Linked DNA regions of Caenorhabditis elegans. The protein of the gene in region 1 interacts with the protein of each later gene in a pairwise test. Each region holds a gene or a part of one and is shown on either strand. Other genes may lie near its edges. The genes, in order: syx-5 and vps-52.

Evidence for each region.
Region 2: the proteins of syx-5 (region 1) and vps-52 interact in a two-hybrid assay, tested with the Caenorhabditis elegans proteins (one study listed by BioGRID).

Annotation. Positions count from the first base shown.
Region 1 is NC_003283.11:11,752,270-11,767,722, reverse strand, and holds syx-5 (Putative syntaxin-5), read right to left. Parts: upstream 2,820-15,453; 5' UTR 2,805-2,819; coding exon 2,616-2,804; intron 2,540-2,615; coding exon 2,357-2,539; intron 2,115-2,356; coding exon 1,643-2,114; intron 1,598-1,642; coding exon 1,500-1,597; intron 1,046-1,499; coding exon 746-1,045; 3' UTR 501-745; downstream 1-500. Other genes in the region: sel-11 (E3 ubiquitin-protein ligase hrd-1), read right to left, coding at 1-106, 152-379; F55A11.1 (EF-hand domain-containing protein), read left to right, coding at 3,345-3,443, 3,575-3,651, 3,697-3,957, 4,070-4,193; T04F3.4 (EF-hand domain-containing protein), read left to right, coding at 4,727-4,769, 4,822-4,876, 5,429-5,586, 5,633-5,760; T04F3.5 (uncharacterized protein), read right to left, coding at 5,829-5,905, 6,073-6,172, 6,216-6,331, 6,375-6,648, 6,697-6,795, 6,957-7,034; T04F3.3 (Tyrosine-protein phosphatase domain-containing protein), read right to left, coding at 7,175-7,309, 7,352-7,980, 8,398-8,642, 8,691-8,776; smoc-1 (Thyroglobulin type-1 domain-containing protein), read right to left, coding at 9,131-9,201, 9,249-9,715, 9,762-9,921, 9,971-10,055; T04F3.1 (Aminotransferase class I/classII large domain-containing protein), read right to left, coding at 13,698-13,916, 14,215-14,354, 14,436-14,889, 15,030-15,115, 15,162-15,453. UniProt on the Caenorhabditis elegans protein: Potentially involved in docking of synaptic vesicles at presynaptic active zones.
Region 2 is NC_003284.9:7,563,626-7,579,656, reverse strand, and holds vps-52 (Vacuolar protein sorting-associated protein 52 homolog), read right to left. Parts: upstream 14,335-16,031; 5' UTR 14,327-14,334; coding exon 14,170-14,326; intron 14,128-14,169; coding exon 14,009-14,127; intron 13,947-14,008; coding exon 13,851-13,946; intron 13,809-13,850; coding exon 13,578-13,808; intron 13,524-13,577; coding exon 13,290-13,523; intron 13,240-13,289; coding exon 13,033-13,239; intron 12,983-13,032; coding exon 12,857-12,982; intron 12,748-12,856; coding exon 12,466-12,747; intron 12,418-12,465; coding exon 12,027-12,417; intron 11,980-12,026; coding exon 11,861-11,979; intron 11,809-11,860; coding exon 11,662-11,808; 3' UTR 11,512-11,661; downstream 1-11,511. Other genes in the region: pcyt-1 (Putative choline-phosphate cytidylyltransferase), read right to left, coding at 1-251, 301-417, 681-889, 7,281-7,300; Zinc finger protein unc-98, read left to right, coding at 6,083-6,106, 6,155-6,232, 6,323-6,433, 6,664-6,732, 7,522-7,656, 7,699-7,881, 8,685-9,017; Apyrase apy-1, read left to right, coding at 9,937-10,047, 10,094-10,237, 10,354-10,418, 10,487-10,601, 10,676-11,194, 11,276-11,389; sto-1 (Stomatin-1), read right to left, coding at 15,204-15,390, 15,439-15,557, 15,631-15,894, 15,941-16,015. UniProt on the Caenorhabditis elegans protein: Acts as a component of the GARP complex that is involved in retrograde transport from early and late endosomes to the trans-Golgi network (TGN). The GARP complex facilitates tethering as well as SNARE complex assembly at the Golgi.

The DNA.
Region 1 (15,453 bases):
GAAGACCAATAAATTGCATAACGAATATTGCTGAGAAATCATCACGGAATACAGTGAATGCGAGACATGTTTCCAGAACTGCATGCCATGTACGTTCTGACAGATGCTGAAATTTATTTATGTTCAGTACTGATTTAATATTGAAAATTACCTCAGCCTCTGCAGCTCTCAAATCTCCGAATAAAATAGACTTGAGCAATTGGAACATGAGATATACAAGAACAATTCCTTGAACATATATCACTGCCATACTTGCATTGCTTTTTGAGAGATATACGATTGATGGATAGAACTGTTTGTTGATCAGGAACGCGTTGAGTATGGTGGCCGCAGTCGCCACACACGAGCCACCAATCATTAGTCCAGCTGATACCCTCATCTGAATTCCGAGGGATCTGAAAATAATTATGAACCAAAAAATTACAATAATAATAATAATAAGAAGTAAGAGTTGGTTCAAAATACCATGAATATAAGAAATAATATGAATAGTTTTGATTAAAATTTAAAAAGCTTTATGCTAAAAATAGAGAAGATTTTAATCACAGGCGGAGTTCTACCATCAATTTCCGGGTCAAGACAGAGAAGTAAAAGCTAATTCATGGAAATAATAGTAGAGGAAAATAATGATTATAGGTGATAGGAGAAGCAATTTGAATTTACTTTTCCACTTTTTTTACAATAGACACATTCAAACAAGTCAGCAATCACGGAAAAAAAAAGAACCAATGAAAAATGGAAATGTTTAGGTGAGGAAAAGAACAAATACAACAAAGAAAACCATGAGAACTCCAAAAACTTGAATCATTAACCATCGATTTTTGCTAATATTTTGAAGATATCTCACAAGCTCTGAATGTGCCATATCAATATTAAGAGCTGTATCTTCAACATTTGAATCGATTCTTGTTATCATCTCTCCTTGCTCACTGACGAGTGAAGCCAGTTGAGAGAAAATTTGGCCAAGTTCGGAGATGGATCCTTCAATTGTCGCCATGGTGTTGCTACGGGCTTGCGCATATTCCAATGATGAATCTCTTTGTTGCTGAAAATATTTGTTTCTTGGAAAGTGTTTAAAAAAACTAACTATATTCTATCTATTTTTTTGTTTGATTTTTGAGCAATTTACAGTTTTCACGATTTTTATGTTTTCAATAAACGCTCAAAAATGTCTACAATATTCTATCAAGTCATAATTTTTGGTTAATACTATTAGAAATATAATTTTTAAATTTTTAAAGAAAAAAACGAATTCCAAAGAAAATATTAACATTTCCTAACTAAAATCATAGAAATCTTACAAATTTTTTGTAACATCGCAATTTTTCAAATGTATTCTTTGCTGTTCTAAATTAGTTTCGATAAAACTTGCTTTATTGGCAAAAAATATTAATTTTTAAAAAAAGTTTCACTGTACTTCTCCTAAACACGGAGCATTGGAAATTTAATATTGATAGTTTTTCAAAAAAAATTTCATATTTTTCAAATTGAAAACTTACCATAGTCTGTTGTGATTGCATGTTTGACAGAGCACCCATATCCAGAGCTATGCTTGAGGAGCCATGCTGCTCATCATCTTGAAGAAGCTTTGAACGAACTAAAATTTCAGATTTTTATTGAATGAGCGAGGAAAATAAAATACCATTAGCTCCGGAAGAGGAGGAAGGAAGTCCCATTGGAACTGCTGCACCACTCGAGAATTTATCTCGGCGATTTTTTTCAGCCTTCATTGTTTCTGTACTAATTTCCAGTACGCTTTGATAATCTTTTCCGACATTCGCTAATTTTGACTGCAATCCAACTACAACTAATTGTATATGTCCACTATTTTGATTTTTCATGTTTCCTGCACGTCTTTTTGAAAATTCTTGAAGTTGTCCGATCTGTTTGTTCAAACCCGTAATGTCAGACTTGACAATTGATGAAAGATGGTCAATTTGAGATCGTTCTTCATAGCAGCTCTTTTTCTTAGCATATTCGGCAAGTTTTTCCATTTTTGCACACGTTTGACTCAATTCTTTTCCGATTCGCTTTGCGAGTTGATTGAACTGCACGGATTCAGATAGCATCTCATGCTTTGGTTGAGGTCTAATTCCATTTGCGGCTGCTTTCATCTGAAAAATTATATGTTACCCGAATTTTATATAAATAATAAAAATATTATCGCCTAGAATGTTTTTAAAAATATTAACAGGTGATTCGTGTTTCTTTTTTCTGTTCGAAGTGTATTTCGAGTTTCGCAAAAATCGATATATTCGTCTCGTCCAAATGTTGATGTGAAACCCGAATAACACGTTTTAAAAGTAAATGTTTCGAAATAAAAGCTTATTTTTAGAAGTTTAATGAAAAAACTCACTTCGTATGATTTGGCTGTCGCCCGGAATTCCGAAGTTCGATCTCTTGATGGCATTGTGATAATGATATGATCAAGTGGATTTCCAAAAATACTCAGCGATTCAAGTGTTTCTACTACCTTTGATCGATCTGCGTCTATGCTTTCAGTGCCTTCCGCTGTGTCGTAGGAGGATACAAGCGCCTCCTGAAAGATATATGCATGAAAAAATAAAAACCAGAAATATACAGATAGCCATCTTTCTTCGTTCCGATAGACAAACCTGCGCAGAATTCCAAAGTTGTGAAGCTGACGCGTTGAAAACGGTTGTGAGAGAGCTATACGCGAAACTAGTCGGAGCAACTGCTGAAGTGTGATTCTTCTGATCTGGATCGTAATCAAAATCGACTGTTGAGTAAGAACTGGCTTCTGGTATTCGTCGACGAGATCTAATGTTGTGAAAGTCCGACATCCGACATCGAACAAACTGAAAAATATTGTTTAAATGACTGAAAGCGTCGAAAAGATTAATATATTCAAATGTCACGGTAAAAATATTATTTCAAAAGAAAAACAAATAACAAATATTTCGCTGCATTGTCGCAACAGTCCACTAAACCGGCTCGACTTCGTGGAGAAGAAAATCAATGTGTGGTCGGAGGTTGTGCGTGGCGTTGCGTATTTTATGCGCAACAAACACGCTCCTCAATGCACTAGTTTTTCTTTTTTTTTTGTTTAATTTTCAGTTTAAGTTTTATATTTCTCAACCAAAATGCTCAGTCAAGTTAATTTTATTAAAAAAATACACATAACTTTTCGTTTCGATTTATTGTTTTAAGAAATTTCAGCGATTACCGTAAGATTTGGAACACGTTGCCTCCCGATTACCGTATCTCCCCGTAAATCGACACAAATAAAATAACAGCTTCCACTTCACGCTTCCGTTTTTGATTCCGTTTTCTGTATTCTTACTTAGTTTTGTCTATATTTTAGTGATTATAATATTACAGGAATGGCAGCCAACATTTTGGTGGTATCTTGCCTCATTCTTGGTTCCTTTGCCCACCAACCACAGCAGTTTCCTGGTTCTAATCAACAGCAACCACAACAGGTAAACAATGTTTGTAAAGAATAATAAGAAAATTATTTTCGCTAGAAATTGAACTGAAAAACAATCTGGATACAGTGATTTTTATTATTTTAAAGCTTCTTTAATTTTGTAAATTGTATTGAATAAATCAGGGTGGCCAAGCGGAACAAGCTCAACATGCTCAGCCTGGGCAACAGCAGTTTGGTGGAGAACAGGCCAGAGATGAACAGTAAGTTTTAATAACAATTTTCAAAATTAATTTAAAACATTTCAGCCACATAAAAGAACATTTGGACGGAAAAGTGGACCCAACTGCTAACATGACGCCAGAACAACTTCAATTCCATTATTTCAATATGCACGATTTAGATAAAAATGGGAAACTGGATGGAGTCGAGTTGATTAAGGCAATAACGCATTTCCATGCCGAGAATCCAGGACCACAGCATACACAAAATAATGCCAATGCCAATCATCAGCCACCACCACTCCCAAGTGAAGTTGAATTGGAGACGATGATTGATAGTATTTTAAAGTGAGATATATATTTAATTAATTTATTTTCTAGAGACTACTGCTAGCAATTAGCATAAGAAAGCACTAAAATATTCAAAGTCTTAAAAAAATACTTTACTGAATATTTTCAGGGACGACGATTTCAATGCTGATGGCTTCATCGACTACGGAGAGTTCCTCAAAGCACAAAAGCTTCGAGAAGATCAAGCAAGATCTCACCAGGAACAAATGCAGAAAGCTGGTGGCACACAATAATCGAGAATTCTGATTAGGACAACGATCTAATTAATAGCCATAATTTCCAATTCCTCGTTTCCAAAGTTTTCAATGTTTTATTAACATTCTACGTCTTTTGATGGGTTATATCGACTGCTGTAACAAATCATTTTATCATACTATCCTCGTCACTTTTAACACTTTAACTGGTACATAATAGTCAGACACCCTCCCCATTTCCCAGTCCTACAACTTTAGTTATTTTTCCAATTTTGCATTTTCCCCATCATTTCTCAAGTTGTGATGATTTTTCGAAACCCATTTGTAAAAAGCATAATTTATTGGTTTATCTTATAGTTAGTTGAGATCGAATAAAAACAAATGAAAATTTGTATTTAGCACCTGTAACAATAAAATTCATGTTTGCTTTTGCTTTTGCACTACCAAATTTTGCGTTGGAACTAAAAGGCGAAGCAGGGGGAGACTGATAATAAAATATTGACATTTGGCAGTCTTGAGAAAAAGAGTTTTCTGTCTATTTCTATTGATTTTATACATATTCCCACTCTATAATGCGTGGATTTTTATTCATCTCAACTGTATTCCTTCTATTAGGTATGCAAATCTGTTTATAACTTTCTAATGTTTATAAATTATTAAATTTTAGTGCTAGAAGCTCAAGGAGCAAAGTTTGCTGAAGAAAAAGAAGTACACGATGAAGAGTAAGTGCAAGTGTACGTATGAAAATTAGTTTGGTTAAAGTAAATGTAGATGCAATTATATGCCATATGCGAAATTTAGCAATTTTCGCGCTAAAAGCACATAACTCGGTCTCGACACGACACTTCTTGTCAAATACAAGCGGATGTGTGCCTCTAATGAGGACTGTAATTTTTTAATTTCATCGATCTTTCATTGTTGGTACACTATTTTTCAAAATTTATATGATTTAATTGATTTTTTTATTTTGAAAAAATTAACTAAAGCATTTGAGCAAAAATCTATTAAAAAAAGCGCTACAACAACAAAAGTTACTGTACTCTTTAAAGGCGCACATCCGGTGGTGTCAAAAAGTTTCACGGCTGAGAAATAGGTAGCGTTTTGGACATTCCTAATATTGACAACTATTTAAAATTCTACTTTAAAAATGTTAATATTTACATTTTTCCCTTACAGTTAGAAGTTATAGTTAGTTTTTCTCGAAAAGAGTTTCAAGACACATTTCATTAGTAATTTGAGAAAGATTTTCAATAGTACGCTTCTTTTGTTTTAAGACATATCAAACAACATTTGGAAAATAAAATCGAAGTTGAGAAGCTAACAGAAGAACAACAACGGTTCCATTATTTCTCAATGCATGATTTGAATAAGGACAATTTTATTGATGGAATTGAAATTTTGAAGGCTCTTACTCACACTCATGATGCACACGGTACTGGATAACCAATCAATTATAGACTTATCTTTATACTTTTTAGATTCCGGACATCCTGTTCCAGTATCAGATGAAGCAGAAACAGAGAGACTTGTTGATGCTGTTTTGGATGATTTGGATTTTAATGGAGATGGAGTTATTGATTATGGAGAATATTTGAAACGACAGTGATTATAGTTGATAGATAATTTATTGAATTTTGTATTCTTACAAGTTTAAACTGGAATAGATGATTTCAACTAATTTTCTTTATTTTTTCGAAGTTCTTCAATCAACTGAGCTATTGCATTTCCTTCGTTGGCAGTCGGTATTTCATCTGGAATTATCAAAGTTTCTTAAAAACTTGAGACTTCATTTTAAAGGTACATACACGCTATATTTTCACAAAAGGTCTCACAGCGATCTTGCACAAAAAGTTTTGTTTAATATTCAAAATTACACAGGGCATCAAATGAATTTTGCAAACTCAGAAGAAAAACTTACCAACACCCAACATTTTTCTAGCAATTTCCAAGACTGTCCAAGATTTATTCGATTTATTTGCAAAATCTTCATCTCGAAATAGTTTCTCATTATCAAGACTCTGAAATATTGTTACAACTTTAATATACTGTAAATCGACCCACTTTAGTAATAGGGAATCCTTTGATCTTAGTCATATCGTACAAGTTCTCTTTTTCATTTGTATCATGCTTTCCAATTAGATCACCAATCCTCCACATTACAGGTGGAATCGTATCAGCTGAAATTGAATTTTTGCTCATGTTGAAGAAATCCATTCTTACGAGATATTGAATTAATAATTCTAGACGTTGTCGATGAACCAGATGAACCCAGGCCGTCTTGACTGTACGGGATTAAATTAAATCGTGGTCCATTCAATGAAATTCCAGATTCTGAGATCGATGGCCTACGTCTCATCTGGCTCTGTAGCTGTGAGAATTCCGGAAACATTGGACCATGGGAATTTTGATGATCTTCTTCTCTTTCTTTACTTTTTTGATGCATTTCAACAAGATGAGCAACTGATGAAACAAGTTGAGTTATTGGAGAGTATTCCTAAATTTTAGAGAACTATGAATTGAAAATCATGACATGAAAACGTACAATTTCCATTCCTTGTTCAAATGGGTTTCCAACAAGATTATGCATTGGCATTGACATAACCATAGGCATTCCCATACCCATTCCCATACCCATTCCAACCTGTAAGACTATAAACTTTCAGAAATATCCTTTCATCGAACGTTGTGAAAATTGTCTAACAAATTTTTCTGAAAGATAATAACATTCTTGACAAAGATAGTTTCTCAGATAAATCAGATTCTAAAAAAGTTGTTGAAATTCAAACCAGTTACTGGACTCACTGGAATTTGTTGAAATATTTGGCAGTGACAGATGTGAAGAAATATAAAGTAAATCTGAAGATATGTGTACGTATTCATTGTTTGACACTTGAAAGTGACATTCCAAAAAGGTGGTAATTGGGAAAATGACTCAAGTTTTAATGTAGGTCATCCGGAAGGAAATAAAATGAGAATAAAAAATTTGAAGAATCTTTTATTTGTAGACTTGAAAAAACGGGTCAGTAAGATTCAGGATTATTGCGAATGATAAACCCATTCAAGCTGATTTTACCGAGATCCTCCACATTCACCAAATGATGACGAATGGCATATTCGAGAACTGACATTGATAAGAAGACAAACTGCTCGGCTTTCTGAAAATATTAATTTTAATCTAGTTATAAAGAACGTATCACCATGCAGGCTGCACCACGAAGCATTCGAAGTCTAGCAATTGTATCCAGAATATCAACAAATGGAGTACCAATTTCATGAGAGGCTGTCAGACGTTGACAAAGAATATCCAAAGCAACAAGAGTGCAGCTTCTACTGAATCCATCAAAACACACCAATGTCATTGGTGTCCGTTGACTGTCGTCAAAAATCTTCTTTTCAAGTCCCTGTTTTCTGAGAATTGTTCTCATATGGTTCATATCTGCCAATAAATCCAGAATATCAGATGGTTTCTGTGGATAACCAAGTTTTCCCCATCCACTATAGGTCAGAAGAATCACTGTTTTATGAGATTCGACACCTTTCTCAGAAATCTTCAGAACAGAAGAGTAAGTTGCCGGTCGAACTTTTCGAATGTTATCCAACTCAATTGTCATATCATCAATTACCAATGGTTCTCCAATCTTTACAGGCACAAATGGTTTTCCCTTTTCATCCAGGAGCTCGCACAGTGTCACCACAATAAGAGAATTACGATCGAAAACACACCGCCAAAATTGAGCAACACTTTCAGACATAGGAGACGGGGCGACAATGAATTTTCGAGTTTCACGATATCCGTCGATCCAACTTGAGTTGAGGTAATTATGACCTGAAATGTGTAGAAGATTGGATTTAGACGGGTAGTCAGAATCTAGACATTCCGTCTTTTTAGTGTCCCTTGTGACAGCCATAAGGGGGTATTTTCATATTTATTTTGATAGACGGTGCGCGATGCAGGCGAAGGTCGCCTTAAGGTGAGGCAGGCAGGTGTTTTGGCGCCTACATGAAAGACCTAACGCTTTTTTTCTGTTTTTGAACGTCAAACATTGAAATTCACGTACTGCCACCACATCAAGGCGTGGAACTAAAATAGAGATATCGTGGAATATTCAGTTAATTTGTTAAAATTTCACTAACGACTTGACATAAATTGCGATACTAAAATAATATAATGTAGTAAATAAATGTGTAATGACGTAACGCCCCACTAGTTTTACATATTTTTATTCTGAAGTTTTTGAATTACCTTGACGATGAACGGCTCGAACACGCGTCTGCTCGTAAACTTGAATTTCTCCAAATTTATTCAATTCGGGGTGATCAAAGAAAGCGTCAACAGTGCGAAGTCGTGACAATGGAAGAGACGAGAAATGTGAAAACTCTTTTCCGACAGAGGAAGTTGAAAGAAGTTTGATAAAAATATCCAGTGGACGAGTGCAAGCGTTTTTTGTGTTCAGATCAAATAGATACTCGTTTTTTTCAAGTGTCATACTGAAAATGAATTAAGCTTAAATATTATTGAAAACCTTGAAAACTTACACATGTCCACTAGTTAGATCGGCTGCACTATTGTAAGTGTGAAGACCAATAACTGATTCAGAAGAAAGTGAACCGTCACCAACCATTTTGTTCGAAATAGATTTTTTGAATTCTGAGGTTCTTTTTATAGTGATTTTTTTCTTATTATTTCAATATCACCACGTGCTTATTTTAAAAGTGAACACTTTTATTTAATTTAAATGCATATGTTTTGTTTTTGAACTGACAATGAAAATATGAAAATACAATTTCTACAAATAAATACGATATTTCAACACCGGACAACTACAAGCTCTGAAATTAAGCAAACTTATTATGCTGTTGAGAAACAAATATGTGAATGAAAGACAAATATAGGTTAATAGATTAATGGAAGGAGGTTACCCGTGGTAGATTTTTAAAGAACATTGCAAATTGAGGGGGAGGATTAAAACTTAAAATTATTCTGATCTTAAAATGTACAGGAATGGGTTTAGTTGATCTGGACGTTTGGCTGGTACTCGGTTGATTTCTGAAAAAATTAAATGAGAAATCAGATGATTTTTCTCAAAAACACACCTTGAACAATGCATTTTCTCCATTCATCGAATGTCAATTTTCTATCCTTATTCAGATCGCAAGTTTTGAAAAGATTTCTGGAGCACTGTCTGACATTCTTCCATTCTAACAAAACTGATTTAAAAGGTTTCCATTCACTTCTTTCAAGCACATTATTATGATTTATATTGAGTTGATTAAACTTCCATCTAATTGCTGAATCTCTGCTAACTTTTGTTGCATTTATTCCACTCATTATCATTTCTGATTTGAGAGTTGATACTAATCGCCTCAGAAATCGTGTTCTCTTCTTTTCCTTACACCGATTGTTTCTTCTCACTCTTTTTGGAGCAACTGTAGTTGTTGGAGTTTCTTCACATTTTGGTTTTCCTCTTGTTGTCGATGAGCCTAACTTTGGCTCTCCGGACAGTTCGTCCACACACCAACAATAAATTGAAACATCATAGCATTGCACTTTATCATATAATCTGAAAATTGAGTAAACTTAACAAATATGTATACGAAGAAACTTACAATGAGTTTTTTGGAGAACATGTTGGAATATAAATTCTAGCATCTCCGTCAGTTTTTCTTTTTAATGCTTTTCGTCTTTGTGATGCACAATCTAGACGTATAACTTCTTCGAATCTTTGACGAACAGACAAATCATTTGAGTCAGTAATATCCAGAACTTCTAAAAAACATTAAAGTTACAATTAACAAATTTAAAATCAGAAACCTACCAAGTCCCCCTTTCTGAACAATTGGATTCCCATTAATCAAGTATATCCAAGCCAATAATTGTAAAGACAAGTGTTCGGGCCGCATGAGCGACTGAAAAATATTATATTAAAATTAAGATAACGATAAAATTGGAGAAATATGTGCAAATCTCAAAACAAAAAAAACGCTGTCCGTTGAAATGTGAAATTGAGGAGAAGACGGAGGATATAGGAGGAGTAACCAGATTAGGTTGCACTCTTCTGCAATGCGTGTGGGCTGAAGATTCAAGTGACGTGGGTGTTCTTCTGGTTTAGGAATTCACACCTAATTGAGAAGATGTCTATAGTGTTAATTTAATAACGGAAATTTCAAACAAAATGGAGAGTTTAGAACCTGAGTGTTAAGATTCGACGTCACATTTCTTTTATGTTGTATTCTGATGTAATCGAATACAATTTTCCGGTTTCGAAACAAAAGTTGACTCTTCAAATGCAAAGTCCACAGAACTTCGAATTAGAAAAGGAAGTGATTTGTGAACTTTTTCAGGAGGTTTCTTGAAATATTGTATAAAAGTTGTTAGAAATAAACTTATGAAGGTTCAACTTCTCATGGTTGTTCAAAGTCTCTATATCCCGCCCAGATATTTTTTATCCCCAATAAAATTCTCAATGATGCGTGAACAATCCAAGAAAAGGTTTGAGCTTGTTTCCGATTGTGGAATCATTTTTCTCCTTCTTTTGGCATCCACCTACTTTTCCGGTCGGGGGCGACACTTATTTTCGTAAATGTCATGTTAGAACTCCACCATAAATGTCATTTTTTGAACAGCTTGATTCGGGACAATTAATTAGTAATTCGGAATATGTGAAAATGTAAAAAAGAGGAAGAAAAAAGAGGTGATGAGGCAGAACGAACAAAGTATAGAAGAGAGGAGGTCAACGGCCGATCGGCTGTTTTGAGAATCTCATAAAAGTATCCAAAGTCACCCTGGTCAGAACAACAGCCAGTGTGTTTAATTGACGCAACGACCAAAGCCAAATCGTAAAATTTGGTTTTGAAGGTTTTCTTGGAGATCTTCACGGTACTTTGTCGTTGCAATAACAATGCAAATTTTATATTATGTTTCAAAAATCTACTAATTTTGTTGTACAAACTTATATCGTATATTCTCTACTGCACCCGTTGCTCAACTGCTTTCTATCTCGGTTGTCTTCTGATTAATTATTTACTGATATTTTCCAAATGAACCAAGATATGACCTTTCAAAGTGGAGCAAGGGGGTGCAGAACTAATAGAGAATAGAGGGTAGATTATATTAAAAAATTTCAAAGAAGGTTTTTTGTCAGATTCATACAAATGAACGAAAATCTTCTCAGGAAGAGCTCTTTAAAACTTTTGAATTTTAATCTGATAAATAATTCTAAAATTCTTCAATAATTAGGCGCAGCTGTAAGAGCACAAAAGATAAGAAACAGTGAGAGGATTGTGTAGTTTATCAATGTTTGTAATTCGTAATAGGGTGAAACTTATTAATTCGTAACTCATAGGATCAATATGCCGAGGATTAAATGAACTTGGAACATACTTTTTAGTAGAAAGTTGTGGAGTTCAAAAACATTTCACATAAAATTTCGAGAGTGATTATAAAATGGGGAATGCAAGAAAGTTAGAAAAAGAGTGGGAAAATGATGGCTCCAGACAGACGTGTCAGTCTCCCGATTTCCTGGCGCCGCGCTCTTATCACTTAACAAGAGCACCAATTGAATATTCAATATTCTCTGAGTCGGGCGGTCATCTGTTTTTTGCACAATTTGCAGGACTCAAAATGGATAGGAATGTGGGTGGAGTCAGTGTAGTTGATAAATGATGAAGATAGGAGGAAAAGTGGAGAAAAAAAAGAAGGGAAGACACGAAATATTTAGTAAAATATGGGAATATATATGTATGTAGAAGAAACCGAGTTGGATTCTTGTGAAACTCAAAGATGGAGTGAGTGAAGAGACAAACTAACTGGCGGGCGCTCAGGTAAATAATGTAATCTCTTGAGCAAACGATCGACCCTCTAAAAAATGGAACAAAACTTGGATGATTGTAGATGGGGGAAAATTGGAATTGGCGTGGGAGAGGGTGGGAAATTAAATTTAGTCGCGTGGAAAAGGGCACGAAGAACAGAAAACAAGAGCACAAAAAACAAGAAAGTAAAGAAAACATATTCTCTTTAAAGTTGCAAGATCTTTACTCGTTTTTTGAACGACGCTGTTTTATGGGGGGAAGAAAGTGAGAATGAAAATGTGTGCCAGGGCATGTGATCTATGAATAATATTTAAAACTACTGTTGTAAACAATACTTAAAAGATACATTATCATTATTATCTAGAATTCTATATTTTGTGTTTTGGATGAGATTGCTTTGTTTGACCAAAGTACCGCTTGTTTATCAAAGAATAGCTTTATACTGAAAATGCTAAGGAAAACCAATTAAACATTGCAATTATGAATTACTTTAGTTTGCCTTGAAAAATAAATGCTCACATAAACACCCTATCTAAGAAGAAAAGGTTTTCAGTTTAAACCTCGTCACTCTGCAGGGTGAAGCTCATGAACTGAAGCATACTGTAGGACTGTGAAAATGCTCGGATGAGGCGCCCATGATACCTCGCCGGGTTAAGTTATCTATTCTGAATTTCCAAACGAACCTAGTATCAATCAAAAAAGGGTATTCAACATAACATTCCGCATCAGAGAATCAGTAATAATAATTATTGGAAATCCTCTCAAAGTTATTTGACCATGGTAAAATTCTCAATCAAAGTTTTGAAAAAACATATAAAAATTATTTTGGCAAGTCAACACATTTTGCAATGCAGAACATTTTTTCAAAAAAAAAACTTTTCTAAAATAAATCCAAACTCCTAAAAATTGGTGTATCATACAATTTTTGATCGATCAAACATAAAAACACTGGAATAGTTCAGAAAAGTGTTACGCGTATGTTCTTGAAATCTCAGACTATGTGGTCGATCATTCTCTATGTTTTTAAGTTTTTGATGTTCCTAATCTGAAATTATTTCTTAAATACGTATCAGTCGCACATTCATTATTTTCCGATATTTTCGTAACACAGAGAGTTACTTATAAAATATTAAGTTAAAGTTTTGCAGATGTGAGTGTTTATCTAGACTTTTTATTTCAGACAAAGAATCTATGATGTAACTGGAACGGATTAAGAGTACTCTCTCAAAATAGAAATAGAAATACGGTAACTCAAATTACAAGTGAGTTAATAATGACAAAGTTTTGTGGGATGAACTTTCAAGTCAATTGCCTGAACAACATCAGTCAAAAGCTCTGCTTCACATGCAAGCTCTTAACGTTTTCCCAGCTTTGCTTTAGCTCTTTCTTGTTTTTTGTGTTTTTAAAAAACGAGTGGACCGACAAAAGTTCATAAAAAAGGCTGGACATACTTGTCAGTTTTTGTCCATCTGTTACGAACACTGGGTGGTCCTTCGTGCCTGGCACATTCTGGACGCCCACTTTGGGGCCATCCAAAAAGTGAGAAATGTGAAGAAAAGTGCACATCTATCCATATATTCATGTAAAAGCCAAGTAAAAAAACGAGTGGAAAAAAGCAAGAAATTGAAAAATAAAAGAAAGAAATATGGGGGGGGGGGGGGGGCGCATCACATAAAATAAGTAGGTGTGAACAATTAAAATTTGAAAAAAAACGTAAAGCAATCTAGTTAATTATTAATATTCAACAGTTCCTACGGGTTGTAGTTGACTTCCCAAATGGATGTAAAGTCTTCTGAATCCTTCTTCAAGCTCTTCTTTCGTGCAGGCAAACACAATGCGGAACCATCCAAACACGTGACATTTCTGATGAACACCCGGAGTCAGCATTACTCCTGCTTCAGCAAGACGCTCAAACAATGCAAGTTCTCCTACAGAATCCAACGAAGTAAGATGCTAAAATGATATCCGTGTTGTATTTTGAAACAAAAAATCACTTGAAAGTTATTTTTTTCCACTGAAACCGAAATAGATAAAGTTACACTTTATTTTTTTGTTTCTGATTTAACATTTATTATATTCTGCTCATGTAATCTTTGAACCACAAAATCACTTTAAAACTTGTTTATAAAAGTTTAAGATGATTATTGAATATAATTCGTCTTCTTTCCCCTAAAATCATAGTAAGTAAAACGTAAGCGATTTTTGATCAGAGTGAATCATCATCAAATTTTTGTAAGTTCAAATGATCTACCTTGGAGAAGTCGGCAAAAACAAATATTCCTGCTTGAGCTGGAATAAATGGGATTTCCAAACGTTTCAAATTATCAGAAGTGTAGCGATAGTGGATTGAAATACGTTTGTTCACTTCACGATGGAACTCTCGTAGCCATTCTGAAAATATAAGAGACTATACTTCCCGTCAAGTTTTTGTTTTTTGTAAAACATGTTAAATCAAAATTGAAGTTATTTTACCTGAATCAGACAATAAGTTCACAGCAAAATCTTGAACGAATGGGGAGCACGGATAGTACATTTGCAGTTTTGTTGCCGCTTGACAAAGTCCTTCATTCGTTGTATGTATCACTGCAAACTTGAGTCCTGGAAGTCCAAAATCCTTGCTAACACTCCATAACCATGCGACACTATCAGGACGGTGTAGACGATGACGATAAGACAGGAATGGTCGGAACTTTGAATTCAATTTATCGAAGACACTGTTTGCAAAAACTTCGTCAATCACAACTCTCAAGTTTTTCGAGGAAGCCCAATTACACAGACTGATGACTTGTTCAGGAGGGAACGTCACACCCAGAGGATTGTGTGGATTAACAATAATTACACCAGAAACTGTATTCTCAAGGGCGATTTGTCGATTCAACTCTGCTTCATACATTTTAACATCAAGACGTGGGTTGGAAAGATCAGTCTGAAAATTAAAAAAAAAAGTGAAATGGATTCGAAGATAATCGAGAACATATTTTAGGTTTTACGCTAACAAGTTAGGAATTAAAGCACATTCTAACTGTCACTAAATATTTCTATATTTTTTCAAATGACATATTATACCTCTACACACACCACTTGACATTGAGCTTTTTCCTGCACATTTGAAATGGTACCAGTGTAAATCGGTCCATTGGTCAACAAAATGTCTGTCAAAAACCCATCATACAATAATTTTATTGCATTCTCTCTTACCATCTTGTTCAAACAAGCAATAGCTTGTAACATCATAACCAGTTCTCGTTGAAGCTGTCAATACAAGCTCATCAATTGTCACTCCAGCACCCATAAACTCTTTGAAATATTTGACAAGAACTCTTCGAGTTTCAGGCCATCCCCCAGCTGGTGGATATCTCACTAGATGTTCGATGTTTGGGAAAAACAATTCAAGATGTTTGAACCGATCTTCTAAAAGCGGAGTGCAAATGTTATTCTCGGCAGTGCAAAAGTTAACGACTCCGTTAGGATTGCGTGTTGGTTCGTATTT
Region 2 (16,031 bases), on another chromosome or scaffold:
TTCCGTTTCCAAGAACATTCCTTCTCTACGAAACTTCTCATACAAGTCCTCCTCTCCTGGTGCAACATATGGAATAGCGTCATGAGCAATGAAATCAACTTTAAGGTTTTTCAAAAACTCGACAGTACAAAACCATGGAGCCTCTCTGTAGACTTCATCAACGTACCGACAGTGCCGAACACCATCGTAACGTTCTTCTTCTGAAGTGACTGTTCTTCCTTTGTACTTGTGAGTGTCGCGATCACCACAAACTGAAATTTGAAATGAAAATCATAATTGAAAAAGATTAAAAAATCAAACCTCCAACAATAAGGTAGACATTTGGGAACATTTTCTTCACTTGGCGAAGTTGATTCGCATGCCCATGATGGAACAGATCATAAATTCCATCAGCATAAATTCGCACAGGTCGGCCAGCTGTAAGTTACAGAAAGCTACAGATATTTTTGAAGCAAATAAAGAGAAAAAACGAAGAAAAACTGAGTAATAGAGAGTCGTGGCAACTTCTGTACTCTTTAAGTGCACACACTCTTTTTTTTCTAATATTCAAATGTTTCGAGAACGTAGACGGTATTTTCTAGTTATAACTCGCAAATTTTCGCAAATGGCTAATTTTCCTTTTTACTATTAGAAATTTCAAGTATATTCCAATATAATATTTTCAAATTAAAAATTCTCACCCTCATTAGCTTCTGCCATTGCCAAAGTTATTTTCTTTGAATAATCCACCGCTTCTCTTGTCGTAATCGCCAACGCCTCGTCGGAAAATGGAGCTGGCTCATCTGATGCCAACGACCTGACAACGTACTCCACTTCCGTCGCCTTCTTCTTCACCTCCACATCTTCTTCTTGTGGTGAGTCCATTGTTCTCTTTCGTTGTGGCATCTTTCTGAACGATCAACGGTTAAATATGAAACTTGTTAGGAATTTAATTTTGAAGCGAATAACAAAATAGAAACACAAAAGTTTGTGTAGACTAGAAAACAAGGGGGAGTAGACATGGTTTTTTATTTTCTCATTTGGAGAAGCACACGAAATTGCGAAGTACGTGTGTTCTACTTATCAAAAGGCGTAAAAAAAATTGATAAGCGCAACGCCTCAAGGGCGAAAGTCTTCGGTTATCGTGCGATTCAGAGAAATCGCACCATTTTCTACTTCCAAAGTTTCACAATCGACCTAAGCCGAGCCTGACAAAGTGTGCAACGCCACGTGGGCAAATTTTTAAAGAAGTGATGTCACAAATTTAAAATTCTGTGAGTTGAAGCCACGCAAAACGTGCCAATGGAGAGTGCGTGCAAAAATTTTCGAATTAGAGAACTAGTGAAAATAAGGGAAGAAGCGGTGTTAGAAAGGGTCGATGGAGAAGGCGAATGGGGGGAAAAAAGACGCTGGACGGAGCGGAAAAAGAAACATAAAAGATGAACGTGGCACATTGCTTTTTTGCTTTTTTGAGTTCCCTTTTTAAGCGATGTTTTCACAGAAAAATAGTTTTTCTTAACAAAGGCTTTTTTTAAGTTTTGAAACTTTTTTTTGAGTTGACAAACTCTTTGAAAATCTAAAATCTGACGTGAACATTATACGCATAATTTTAACTCTAAAACTACAACAATAAATGGAAAAAAATGTCTCAGCTAATGCATTAATTCTTTGTTGTTTGTTTCGAGTTTCGCAACACACAAGAGAAAATGGCAAAAAAAATATGTGACACATGGGCAAACAGAACTAGTGATGGGACCCAGGCAACTAAAGAAAAAATGTTAGCATTTATATTTTTTGTTTTTTAGCATCTTCCGAAAAAGCGTATAATTAAGACGCTGTAAGGATAAGAAGCAGAGAGACACAGAGAAAAGAAGAAAAAAAAACAAAACAACTTGAGAAGACGACAAAAACCAAGCAGAAGGGCAGCCGAACAGAGCGCAACACGCGGCGAACAGCCATCTGGGCAATGAGCCACCAGGTTATACTACTACATTCGTTGTGTTTGTTTGTGTGGTCGAATGACACCACGCACAAAAAAATGGAGGCCACGGGAAATGATGGGCCAAAGAGAGAGAGAGAGAGAGAGAGAGGTGGTAAAGATGAAGAAGAAGATTTGAATGCGCGATTAGAAAAGAAAGTCACAGATGAGTCATTAAAGAAATTATGAGAAGGTCTAAGGAATTGAAATGTTTGTGTCTATTCTTGCCAGAAAATATAAATTTTGGCTTTCTGGTGCCTTTTAGATATTGGAAGTTTTATAAACATTTTTCTACATCCAGTTAACAGTGGAGTATCACCAGTAGGGACATTCTTAAAAAAACACTTCAATTGTGCAAAAATTACAAAATTTCATAGTGAAACCTTTCGAAAAAATATACAAAAGGTTTATTGAGAGTTACTGATATTGCTTTTTTTTGAGAAAACTATAGACTGCCGCATGTTCGAATCCCTACAATGGGGGAATATTAATATTTGTATTTGAAATTAATGTTGAAACATAAGTACTTACTTACTTACTTACTTAGTAGACTATAAAATACCAATGTAAAATTGTTTGATCGAAGACTACCAAAACAGTGGCAAGAAATTAGTAAAGATCATTTTAAAACAAAATAACAACTTTTCAACAACTTTTTGAAAATTTTACTTTGATATTGGATTAAACTGACACCTTATAAGTAGTTTTAACAACTTCCCTAGTGGTGCTACTTCACTTTTAACAAGTCTGTAGAATTTGGCACCTGACGCGGTCATTATGAATAAGATCGTGGCGAGACCCAAAAACAACGTGTGCCTTTTAATTGTTACGTCAAAGTTTTTTTAATTGATAAGTCAAAATTATGATAGCAGTTTCATTTGCATTTCTAAAAACTTATAAAAAAACACAAATTGTCAGATTAAAACTAAACTTAAATTCCACATCTTAAAAAGCACTTGTTATGAACGATAATTTTGGATAAACTTTATTTATTTACATAGGTATATAGTATTTATCTCATTAGTCTTGTTTGCCAAAGTGGTACTGTCATTGTTGTTATCAACAATACGCGTCAAAGAAAATTTTTGAAAAACTATTTTAAGTGATCATAGATTTCAAAGAATGGATGTGATATACCAATGATAAATACATTGATAACGTTTGGAAAACACTATTAATCATAACAACACATACTTCACCTTGTAAATTATTTTATTGCAGAGCCACCAAAGTTTCTTCAAATATATAAGATTCCGTTGGTTGACCCCAACTGCTCAAAAGTTTAATTGAAAAAAAACGGCAAGATAAATTTTTATTACACAACTTTTCTGATAGAAGTTTTGCTCCTAGTGTTAGGATTCTTGAACACCCATTACAACTCCAAACCCAACGGTACAAAGGTAAAAAACGAAAGTTAGTGAGGTGATTTGATTCATGCCATAATTGACGCAATAGATCTGTACTCTTAGAGGTTTCATTGACCCATCCATTATTGCTTGCCAAACGTTCTCTTATCTCATTTTCCCCTCAATCTGTCCACACTTTCTTCTCTTTGACACGAAAGAATTGAGGCCAACTGATAAAGATACAACTCAAAGAATCACTATACAAAAAGGTCATTCTTCGTGTTCATTTTTTCATGTTTCTCTCTACCATGAAAATATGACGTGCCGAGTCGGTGTAGTGCATTAAGAGCAAAAGTCAAGAGGAACCATTACAGAAAATGTTAGGGTGGTTTGCTGGGAGAGAAATTAGTTGTTTATGAGAAGAAGAGAAAAGAATGAAAAATGAGACTCTGGACTCTGGAACTACTCTGATTTCATAGCATTTGATAGCGGCCACCACTGCGGTAATGCACGTTTATTGGAAAAGATGGAATTCGGATTGAAAGTTTAATTTTCGGATTGGAAAACGATAAAGGTGATTTTAAAAAAATCATTTTCATAGTTATTCATCAACTTGAGACGGAAAGTTGGAATGTTTTCATTGACGGACTAGACAAAATATGTTGACTGTTACTTGGTAATAAAAATAGATAGAATTTGTCATTTGAATTTAAAAGTTATGAATTAAGGCATTTTATATCGAGTGTGATGGATTTCAGGTAATTCTCTGATAATAAACGCGAAGAAACCGGAAATATAGACATGGTGCGTTGTTCTAAATTCATATTCAAAATGTTCCTCTGCCCACAAAATGAAATTAATATTTGACACTAAAAACGAATGTAGTATTAAAAAAAGAACCAATAATTTGATCCTATAAAAACGTTTTAAAATGTACCAGTTTTTTTAAATTTTTATTTATTCGTTTATTAGCTTTTTACCCCTTGAAATTTATCAAGGGGTAAAAAGCTAATAAACGCTGCGAAGGCGGGGCGGGAACGTTTAACCGGTAATAATGTAGTTTTACTGTTCCATAAGGGAAGATACTTATGTAAGAAGTTTTTGTGAGGCCACAAGTACACAGTAAGTATGGAAATCTAGGAGGTCCGGCTTTTCTGACAAGAGAGGATTTTATAAAGTAGGGCTATTGGTTCGTGGTATAAACGTATTGACTCAAAATGTGCTGGAAAAAAAAAACAAATTTCGTAGTGAGTCGCTTGTTCTCTTTTAAAACTTTATATTTAGCCCGAGTAGTGAGACTGTTTCATATACCGTATTTCTTCTATTAGTCTTGCATGCAAGACTAATTTTCCATTGGTCTGTAGGGTTGCAAGACTATTAGAGGCTGCAAGACTAGTTTTCGAATGCCCCATCTTTGAAAAAATGACCTATTTTTTGTTGAAAACTTAACTCGATAGCTTGCTGAACGATAAAAATATATACTTTTGCAATATTTCATAAATTATTTGATCATTTTCTAGGTTATTTTCTCAAAAATATCAAATTTGCTGACGTTTCCGCAAAGTACTACTGGTCTTGAAAAAAGAGGGATGCAAGACTATTAGAGACTGCAAGACTAATAGAGGCTGCAAGACTAATAGAGGAAATACGGAAAACTGTTTTTTAATGAAAAAGGGTCTGGTTACTTTATACTTGTTAAAAATTTAACAATTAAATGCATTTTTGTTGTGTAAAATTTCAACATTGGTGCACTTTTAGCCCGCTTGTGATGCATGAAAGAAAGATCCGATCAATCCAGAAGGTGGTGCAGCTCCAGTAAAATGTTTATTCCAATTAAAAGTCATAAAAGTCCCACATAACCGTTTAGATTCTTGAGAATTTTCATTCAAAGTTGTGGTAAATTGCCACAACTAGAATAAGTTGAACCTATGAAAAATATTAGAGCAATTCTGCATTTTTTTAAATGTCTACAATATATGTATATACAAATGATCAAATCATAGTTAGAATATGAAACTTGTATGTAGAAAAAACTATTTTTGCCGTGTTCCAAGATTGTGATTTGTGAAAACTGAATGATAACTACCTTTTTGAAAGCAAAATTATTTTAGATTATTTATCACTGTATAAAGGAGTGATTACAAAAAATCACCCTGACCGATGCTTCACATTTAAAACAATAGCTTCATAATCCTGCATAGTTTCAAATAATAGTTTTACAGTATGTAATTTAATATTTTTACAATTCATATTGAATAATTTCTAAAATATAAACTTCGTTGATCCTTTTCGATTATTATTTCAAAAAAAAAGTACTCTTTCTTTTGTTTGTACCCACATCTCCAAATCATTTGCACGTGTTCAACGTACTACACAAAATGTATGTCACCCACAAACACTAGCATCTGTGCCATTCATTTCAGAAACATGATTCCGCTTTGAAGTTATGTCGAGCACTGCAATCTAGACGCTTTTTTTACTTGTGTCGTCAAGATCTCTTTCTTCTTTAAGACAGTTGAGCAAGATTGAGGGAGACTGCAGACACAGAAGTGTCCCGCAAAACATCCAACGAGGAAAGGAAATGAGAGAGCGGGAGCATTTCAAAAGAGCACATCAGATCCAGAGATTGCAGAGGCGATTTCTCGCATTTTTCGATCGCGACGAGTCTCTTGAGTTTACACTGTGTGTTGAGCACCCCAGCTAGCCACACCGAGCATTCTACCCTCTGACAATTTTCACCCCCATTCCGACGACTAACCGCTGATATCCAGATACAACAATGGATGACGACATCTTCAAAGAGGTATTGTTCTTGATCACTGTGAGCTTTACTTAAATTTGAATTTTTTAGGCAAGAAAGGAAAGAGATGACTTCGAAGAGTTGATGAATGCCTGTGATCTTGCCAAGATGTCCGTGAAGAACAATGAAGTGAGTTAGAGAAACCGAGAGATGACGGAAAAACCGGAGAAAAACGCGGGGGTGTCTGTATTGCGAAATGATTAAAAAAATACCTTCCAGATGGTTCATGGTCTAGAAACCTTCGGCATCAATGGAGAATCGTCAGAAAATGGAAATAAGGAAAAGCCCAAAGAGATCATGAAAGTTGTTGCCCCAACAGTTGAAGCATATGTGAGTTTGGTAAAATTTAAAAAAAAGAATTTCAGAGATTGAAATGTTTGATAGGTTTTAAGGCAAATTTTTTTAAATGTTTTTAAGATTGGATTCATACTGACATTTTTCAACCCTTGGATACAAGTGAAAAAATGTTGAATTATCTGAATAGTGTCTGAAAACGCTTAAATACTTTAAAACAGCGCCATCCTAATTTGATTTTAAAAGCATCAAGTAAATTATTGTAGGTCGGAAGTTCAAGTGCTCAAACTCCAACAAAATCGAGTGGCGGTGCTTTGGATGGCAGTGATCAACAGGTTTGTTTTATTGTTTTTATGAAGTGTGTGTTTTTGTGCATTTTTTGTTGAATAGTTCGTGCTTTGAATAATTTTTAATTAAAAAAACATTGATTAGGAATGTAGTCTATAGGTTTGTACAGGCAAAATTTCCGGAGAAAATGAAACTATATTTTTTGAGTTGTTTGAGAGAAATTGTTAATTTTTTGCTGAATTTTAGATAGTTTAGAAAAGGTTTTATTTTCTAATTTTATAATTAGCATACTAGTAAAAACTTATTTGCCAGAATACACAAAGACAAACTCAGTTCTAATTTAATTTAAATTTAGCCCATTGTCGAAGTAACCATGTCCTGTACATTTGTTGGAAGAGAAAGCTCAGCAGGATGCTAAGAAGAAAAAAAAACAAATTATGATTTTTGTTGTTTGTGATTTTATTTTTCTCTTATCATTTTCAAATACTAACTTGGAATATAATTTCTTGCTGCTCCTTATGCTTTTTTCCTTCAACCTATCCATTTCCATTCTTCTCCTTTCCCAAGCTAATTCACATGGGTATTGTTGACTTACTCTTGTTTGTGAATAAACATTTTGCTGTTGTTGTTGAAGTTGATGCGCTCACTTTCAGCACACGAACCAAATGTGCGGAATATAGATGTGAGCATTGACAGCTTGAATGTGAAAGAATGAGGGAAATGGGAATAAAAGGAAGAAAAATATAAGATGAAGGAAAAACTGAAGAAGGGAGGGAATGAAGAAGGCGTTAAATGAAAAAGAGACTCTTTTAGTCGATGAAAAGTGATTATTGCAGGAAGTGCGTCAGGACGGAACTAGTGTGCAAAAAGATGACAACGGATTTGTATTCTACAAGTGTCGTTTCTGCGGACTCACATTCAACTTCATGAACACTCTCCGTGCACACGAGAGAATACATGACGTTTCACAGGTTTTCATTCGCTGGATTACTTATAGAAACTCTTTGTTTCAGCCATATGTCTGTGGAAAATGCGGAGACTCATTTGAATTTGCTTGCCAACTGGAATATCATGCCGCTCAGCACTCAGAAATTGACGGGTACAAGTGTGAATGCGGAAGGACGTTCTTTTCTTACACGGAAATGTTATATCACAAGCACACGGACGATCCACTCGAATTGATAGGTGCTCCAGAGGTTTGTCTAATTGAGAAATCTGAGAAATAATAAATTTACTAGATTTTACTAATCAGTAGAGCTTTTTGAAACAAAATCTGAATTACGAACTTCTCGGAAAAAAATCAACAGAATCTAGCTATGGCTGTTTTAATGTTTGATTTTTTATTCTTCAGTTCTTTCGACTCAAAATCTATCAAAACCTTTTCATCCAGCCATTCGCTTTTCAATTTTGTATTTGGTTTTCATAGTCCTTGATGTGAGAAAATTGTGAACAAAAACTTTGTGTGTCTTGGCTTTCTGACGTAAAAAAAATATTTTTCTCAACAAAAAAAAATTGCTGATAGCCTGTGAGAGGGTGCAATTTGATACGACTGCACTTACTTCTTGCATCACAACTGTTAAACAGATGGAATTTCAGTGCAAAAAAAAGAAAACGTTATGAAACAGAAGTTATGAAACCGAAGAAAGTTCCAAATTTAAAAACATGTTTTGGTCGTTTACCTTACGTTGTTTTGTTAATGAAGATACGTTTCAAGCAATTAGGGACCAAAAATTACCACAATTTGCTACCTAAGTCTTTGTGACTGGGAAAAATTGAAACAACTCGAGTTTTTGACTGAAATTTGGGTATTGCCTTTTCAAAATTTTGAACCCCCATAAACAAGTTTTTAAGTAATTTTTGAGAAGTAGTATTTCAAATTTCGTTCGTTTGGTTTTGTTAAAAATCACACGGAAAAAAAGCCGAAACCGTTTTTTTACTTTAACAAGGAATACATTTGTGAGAAGAATGAAGATTACCAATATAATTTGAAATACTTCAGACAACCACAATAAAAGTAAGCAAGAAGCGAGTCCTACCGGTCTCCGAGCAAGATCTTCCACAGCCAGCTTTCGTTACTGAAGGATACGAGCCGAAGCATCCACTCCGAGTGTACAACGACGTTCGTTCAAAACCATACATTTGTGAATATTGTTCGAAAAGCTACTCTGACAGTCGTGGTCTTGCATATCACATGTACAGTCATCGTGGAGAGAAGTACTTCAATCCTCGAGCATCTCGTTATATGATGGGAAGGGAAGGAGTTGGGTACACTGATTCCAGAAGCTACTATTTATTCCCAAGAACAAGCGGATACGTGACTCCGCGATTCTGAGCAACCCCTGAGTATTTAAAATTTTTCTAATTTAGTATTTAAATCTATCCAGATCTTGTAAAATATATATATATTTCAACATCGGCTAGCTTTAACAATATTTGTCCTTCAAAATGTATATTCGATATGGTTCTTTCATATAACTCATATTTCTTTCTTTCAACTAAATCAACGTTTTTCTTTAGTGTTATCGTTTTCTCATTTCTTGTCATTTTGTCTTTTCCTCACATTTTTAAGACGCTCGTTATAAAGACGGTCAGCAGCAGAAACTCGTTTTGTGTTCAACATAAACTACAATTGACTACAAAGCACAAAAATCGTGTGTTTCCAACGCACTCAGACACACTCTATAAATACTGTTCTCGTCATGTCTTGTTGGTATTTTCTTCTTTCCCTGAAATATCGATTCCTGGTCAATCGTACAATTGGGACCATGTTAAGCGGGAAAGACATTGACCGCTAGCACAAATGTTGTCCGGCTCTCTCACAATCAATCTTTCTTCTGTGATGTGTTACGACAACCCACAACCGATTTTTTGATAGCAAAAATGATAAGATGATGATAGCGAGACAGCTCAATTGTTCGTTGTTCTAGAAGTTGTACGTTTTTTTAAATTTATTTTGCATCATTTTGAATTCATTATTTAAAAATGTATAAAATTGTTTAATTAACGGTTCTCGAAATATTTTGCCACTTCACAGCCACGATATCTCACTCAATAAAGCAAATGCAATTTGGGACACGCACTTGTGTTCGTTATTAATATCGAGTCCCCATTGAAAAAACTAGGCCACGCGGCCGTGAAGTACTCTCGGAAAACTACACCATTTTTTATTTTTTTATTCTACTTATATTTTCTCAAATCTCTTACTTTCAATTAATGCTTATAATTAAGACTCACAAAAATAATTTTTAGGTATGACACAAGAAAGTAACTCAAACTTTTTCAACTTCCTTCTTTTCGGGTTTGTGACCGCTATTGCCTTTTATTCGGGTACCCAATTCAACAAATCTAGCGAACAGGAAGAGGTAACTCTTTACATTTTCAGCTGATTGCGCACATATCCATTTACAGCACATCAACCATGCTAACTTGTATTCGGTAAAGAAGTTTGATGATGGAGCAAAAGAATACTCAATAATGTTGATCACCGATTTGGATCATGACAGCAAAGACGGGAAGAAGTGGAAAAGTTTGGTCTCTCGTGGATTTTTGAAGGTGAGAAGGACGGCAAGAAACTAATGCATTATGCTCAGCTTGACCAATATGATTTTTATAAAATGCAACTTGCTTTTTTCGAATCGCTATAGGAAATTTTCAAATTTATATTTCAGGTTTCTGCAGACCACAAGCATGCCGATATTCATTTTGACAAAGACTCGGAGTACTATGTTGACACGTAAGTTTACAAAATGTGTTTTTATAGATTTTTTTGTTTTGACTTCATTACTAAAATCATCATTTTAGAAATATTGCCGCCGGTGGACGCGCTATGGAGTTGTCTGACCTTGCCGTCTTCAATGGTAAACTGTACTCAATTGACGATAGAACAGGTCTTATTTATCAAATTAGTGACAAGAAGGTGAGTGATGAGTGGTTAAACAATGATATTTGTGTAGTGGATTGATTTTTAAAAAATATAATATTGTTTTGAAGGCACTTCCCTGGGTATTACTGAACGATGGGCCAGGAAACGTCGTGAAGGGATTTAAAGGAGAATGGATCACTGTTAAGGATACCGAATTGATTGTTGGAGGATTGGGAAAAGAATGGACGACCACTGACGGAGTTTATGTGAACGATCACCCAATGTGGGTGAAGCATGTCTCTGCTCACGGAGCCGTTCATCACGAAAACTGGAAGGATGTATATATCCGCGTTCGTAGAGCTGCTGGGATCGAATATCCCGGATACATGATTCACGAAGCTGTTCAATGGTCTGCAATTCACAGAAAATGGTTCTTCCTTCCACGTAGAATGTCAAATGAGAAGTATTCTGAGGCGGAGGACGAGAACCGCGGAACAAACGTTCTTGTGATTGGAAATGAAGAGTTGACTGATTTTGAGGTTGTGCGAGTAGGATCGGAGAATAACAAATCCAGAGGGTTTGCTGCTTTCCAATTTGTGCCAAACACTCATCACCAGCTCATCGTTGCCATCAAGTCGGAGGAAAAGGTAAGTAACAGGTTTTATCTACACAATTTTAAAAACAAAATCCGTTAATCTCAATGCTCGGTTTATAAAATTGTATTCCAGGATGGAAAACCAGTAGCAAGTTATGCAAGTGTTTTCGACATTCATGGTAATGTTATTCTTGACGAATATCTTCTTCATGGTCCATACAAATACGAAGGAATTGCATTTGCCTAATCACTTCAATTAATGTATTTTTGTCTCAATTCCCACCTTCCAGTCAGGTCCAAATCTGTGTTCTCGATATTATGTGATTTTTGTCAAATACTATGTAATGGTTATTTAAATAAAATAAATATATAAACATTTTATTCAACATTTTTTGCATGCATAAAGCTGCCAGTGGGTAAAAATATATATAAAAAAATACTCAAGTAAGTGGGAATCAATAAATTATTTAATTTACAAAGTCTACACGGGAAAATAAAATAACATTGGCAATATTTTTCTTAATATGCTGGTTTGAACCGTTTGATTTCGAGCATCACTTGATGAACGTTGACTAACTGGGAACACACGGGATTTTTAGCAAATACGTCATGGGACAGAATCTTTGTGAATCTATTGATATACTGAACGTACTTTGTGAAGATTGTCTGAAATCATCTAGTTAAAACTGAAATTCGGCTCTAGGAAATAAATTTTAACCTGTAAAATGGTGGTTCCCAGGCTGAAGTTAGTGAAAAGTTGTATGCATTCTGAATTAATACTGTCCACTGCAGGTCTCCACTTTGCATTGAAGTTTGCTACCACCGTTCCAACTTTGTCTGAAATTAAAATATTAGAGAATAGAAAATTATATATGACAACTTGCCATTATATCGAACTAAGAGTTGTGTATGACCTTGAACAATCAGAGATTCACACTCGTTGACAAATTTAATCATGTACCCAATATGTGGCTCTAGCATCTCTTCAACAAAATCATCAATACTTTTTTGTTCAAGCTCATGGACAATTGCATAAATCTTTGTATGCTTGCTTTCCTCGTTATCGATAATCGAAAGAATAAGATCGTAATTGTTAATCAGAAAGACGTGCTTATTTTTCTGAGTTTGCTGCATAGCTGACATTCGAGTCAATAGTTGTTCAATAGAGTCTTCACTGTTCTCCAAGACAGCTTCCATCTTTGCACCCATTTCCTTTCCACTTGCTTTTGCTATCATCAAATGTGCACTTGTCAGTTCGGCGTACCGTCGGACTATCTGTAACATCTGAATTTTTTTGATTATAAAAAACAATCAAAAACTTACGAAATGCGGTCTTGCATCAAGTGAACCGCTATGCATCAACTTCTTCAAATCAACAGATTTGACACTTTCGTAGTGTTGAGACATGACCAAATTGAGGCGGGTCCAAAGGAAGCTTGTGACAGTATTCCAATAATCGCTAACTTCTGGTACCTCTCTCTCGGCGAGCACTTCGGTAAACTTGTCACATAGACAAATGCACAGATGAAGACTGATGGCGTCCCAACTAAGGGCGATTTGCTCCTCGCAGCTTTTGAGCACAACTGACATTGCTCGAGCCATAGCCTGAAAGCAATTATAAGCTTTTTTCCGGTAGTGAAAAGGCAAACAACTATTGTAAATGTAACATTACTACGTAATAGATATTAGGTCTTTCCAGGTCCTCGTAACATACCTTGTTATGCAGTTCAATGGCTTCATCATTGCTGACAAGGAAAAAGTCGGTAATAAAGAGGTACTCATGGCTGTAGTGATCGACAAATGCCAGTTGAATAGAACGAAATAGTGCTTCAAATTGATACTGAAAATATAATTTAATTTGGTCCCTACCAGTTCTATTGTAAGGTATACCGATTGATGGTTCTGCGTAGCTGCGTGGGGAACAATCAAGGCTCCTAAAAAGTCGTCAGAGAGAATTTGATGTCGTTGCCCAATCGAAAAAACGGTTGCCTTATTCCGAACAACGTGTTGTTTCGACGAGAAAATTGCGCCTAATCCAGCGGGTTTTGCAAAATCAATACTTCCCAAAGCGTCTTCTTTGGTGGCCACGTCTTTCATCTTAAATAATTACTCTGGTGAATATACTTGAAAAATGTGTCTCAACCTACCGCAAGTTTGAACAGGCGTGTGGCGTATGCTTTGAAATACGTGAAGAACATCTTGCTGATGGTGTCAATGTACTCGTCTTGAAGTTCCTTGGCAGAGATCAAGTCATGGTGCAACAGGAATTCGTAGAAAAATCGGCATTTGAGAAGCTGGTGTTGAAAAACTTGGTAGTTGGACAGAGGTTTACGGAATTGGAACATTTTCTGAAGCAACCATTCCCTCACTTTTACAACCGCCTGAAAAAAAACATTTTTGAAATGTAAACTTTTGTAAAAAAAAAAACACCCAACCTTAAGCTTTAGTCCTTCCAAAATCGGCATAGTGTCGTTTACCGCTACCGCATCTCCATTTCCCCTTTGCAAAATTAAGGTTATTTTGTGGTGTAACTCGTGGAGCGCTTCCAAAAAACCCCTGTCATTTGCATCAGTGTCGTTGATAGTTTTCATCATCGTTTGAGAAACAGCAATATCGTCTACAAATTGGCTCAGCTCGACTCTAACTTTTTGCCGGTTTTCCAGTTCCTGAGAAGATTATAGTACGTTGAAATTGGAAAATTAATTTACTTGATGAATATGATGCGACTGTAGCTGCAAATTTTTCATATCCTGCCCAATTGATCCTAGATTGTCTTGAAAACTGTACAATGTTGCTTGCAAGCGCTAAAAAGTTTAATTAAATAGTCGACTGATTTATATATTGGCAATTTTTACAATATACTTACTTCAAAAACATTATCACAATGCACAAGTTGATTATGGAGTTGAGCCAACTGCTCAGAGTTATCAAGACACTGTTGAACAGAATAACGATGTGCCTCCGATAGCCGCGTGCTGACGTCGTCTGAATTATTGATTTTTCAAATGTTGACATTTAGAGACATACTTTTCGACTCGGTTAGTCCGTCACCAGAAGCAATTGCTTTTTTCACCAAATTCGGATCTGCTTTTCGCAATTGCGATAAACAAAATTCTAGCGACGATATTGTGAAACTACGGTCATTTGCCTCGGATTTTTGCAAGTTGACACGTGTTCGAGGCATTATTTGTGCTGAAATTGTTTCAATAAAAATTTTGATGAATAACTAACGTTAATAAATAAAAAATAGCGATAAACCAAAGAAAAAACAATTGGTAACACGTCGTTAAACGATGCTCCGCTTTTTACACCCCGCGCGGTGTTTAGAATAATGGTGTGCTTGTGTGCGAGGAAGGCGAGGAAAATGCTCGCCAAGGAGGTTATGCAGAACAATTGGAAAAATGAGAATGTGTGGATTTTTGAATTTTTATAGAGAATTTAATTTATCTATTTGGTATATTTTTGACAATTCGCTACGAGAAATCTAAAACACTATTAAATCTTCAAACCCCAACAATATTGAAATTTGGATTTTTGTTTAGTGAAAAAATAAGTGAAAATATGAATTTTTCTGATCAAAGACTTTCATAATAATTGGTGAAAACCTAGTTTTCAGCGCATTAGGCTCGAAATAAAAAATTTCTCAAAACTTTTTGAATCCTTCGATTCAAATATTTCCCGTTTTACAAAAAATTAGACAAATTTCTAAACTATATGGCTTCCTTCATTTTCTTGGAAAAATACACTTGAAAAATACAATGGAACGTGGAGAATCATATATATATTATTATTATGATGAGAAAAATGACTGAAAAAATTTGGAGCAAAATCGGAAGTCTTTCAGACAACCTCTCAAAGATATGCCTTGACAACCGATATGTGCAATTTGGAAGTGAATGAGGTGGAAATCGAGTATAAATATTAAGTGTTATACAGTTGAATAATACAGTTTAATAGTTAAAAAAAAATACTTCAAACAGGAAAGAGATTATCAATATGCTTCGAGTTGATCCTTGTTTTGTTTTTTGACGAAACTGTAGCTCATTTTGCGTTGCTTGGAATCAGAGTCGGCTTCCTGAGGAAGATGCGGTGGCTGGAACTGTATCCTGACGTTGAATGGATTGAAGGGCGGCATTCATCATTTCTTGAACTGGAAAGTTCTGAGATGTGCCTCCTGAACCAACCTTGCTGATTCCTCCGAGAATCTCCATTGGGAACGGGAAGATGATTGTGCTGGTTTTCTCGGAACTGAAATTTTATTTTGTTAGTTAAAAGTTGATAGTGCGCTTCCATTACCTGATAGCATTGAGTGTGTGCAGATATCGAAGCTGCATGGCTCCCTCGCTTTTTGAAATGATGGTGGCGGCTTCAGCAAGAGCGGCAGATGCTCTTAATTCTCCTTCGGCAGCGATAATCTGAAATTAATTGCAATCGAAATTAATAATTATTGGTCCCCCGCATTTTGCTATGCTCATCATGTCGGCTCACCTTTGCTCCAGCATCACGAGTAGCCTCGGCTTCAGCAGCCATAGCACGTTGCATTTGAGATGGAAGACGGACATCGCGAAGCTCGACACGTTCAACCTTGATTCCCCATGGCTCTGTAGCTTCATCGAGCGAGATTTTCATGTCGGCGGAGATTTTCTCACGGTCGGATAGAATTTCTGAAAGGGTATGGGTACCGAGAATTGTACGGAGGGTGGTTTGAGCCAAAAGTTTGGTAGAGTCGGTCGCATTGCCAACTCCGACGACCTAAAAATTCCAAATTAGATTGAACCGTACCAGCTGTTTAGTTTACCGAAGTGATTGGGTCAAACACCTTGAAGTAGACAACTGCGTCAACAGAAACGGTAACCGAATCGCGAGACAGAATCTGAAGAGAGAAAGAT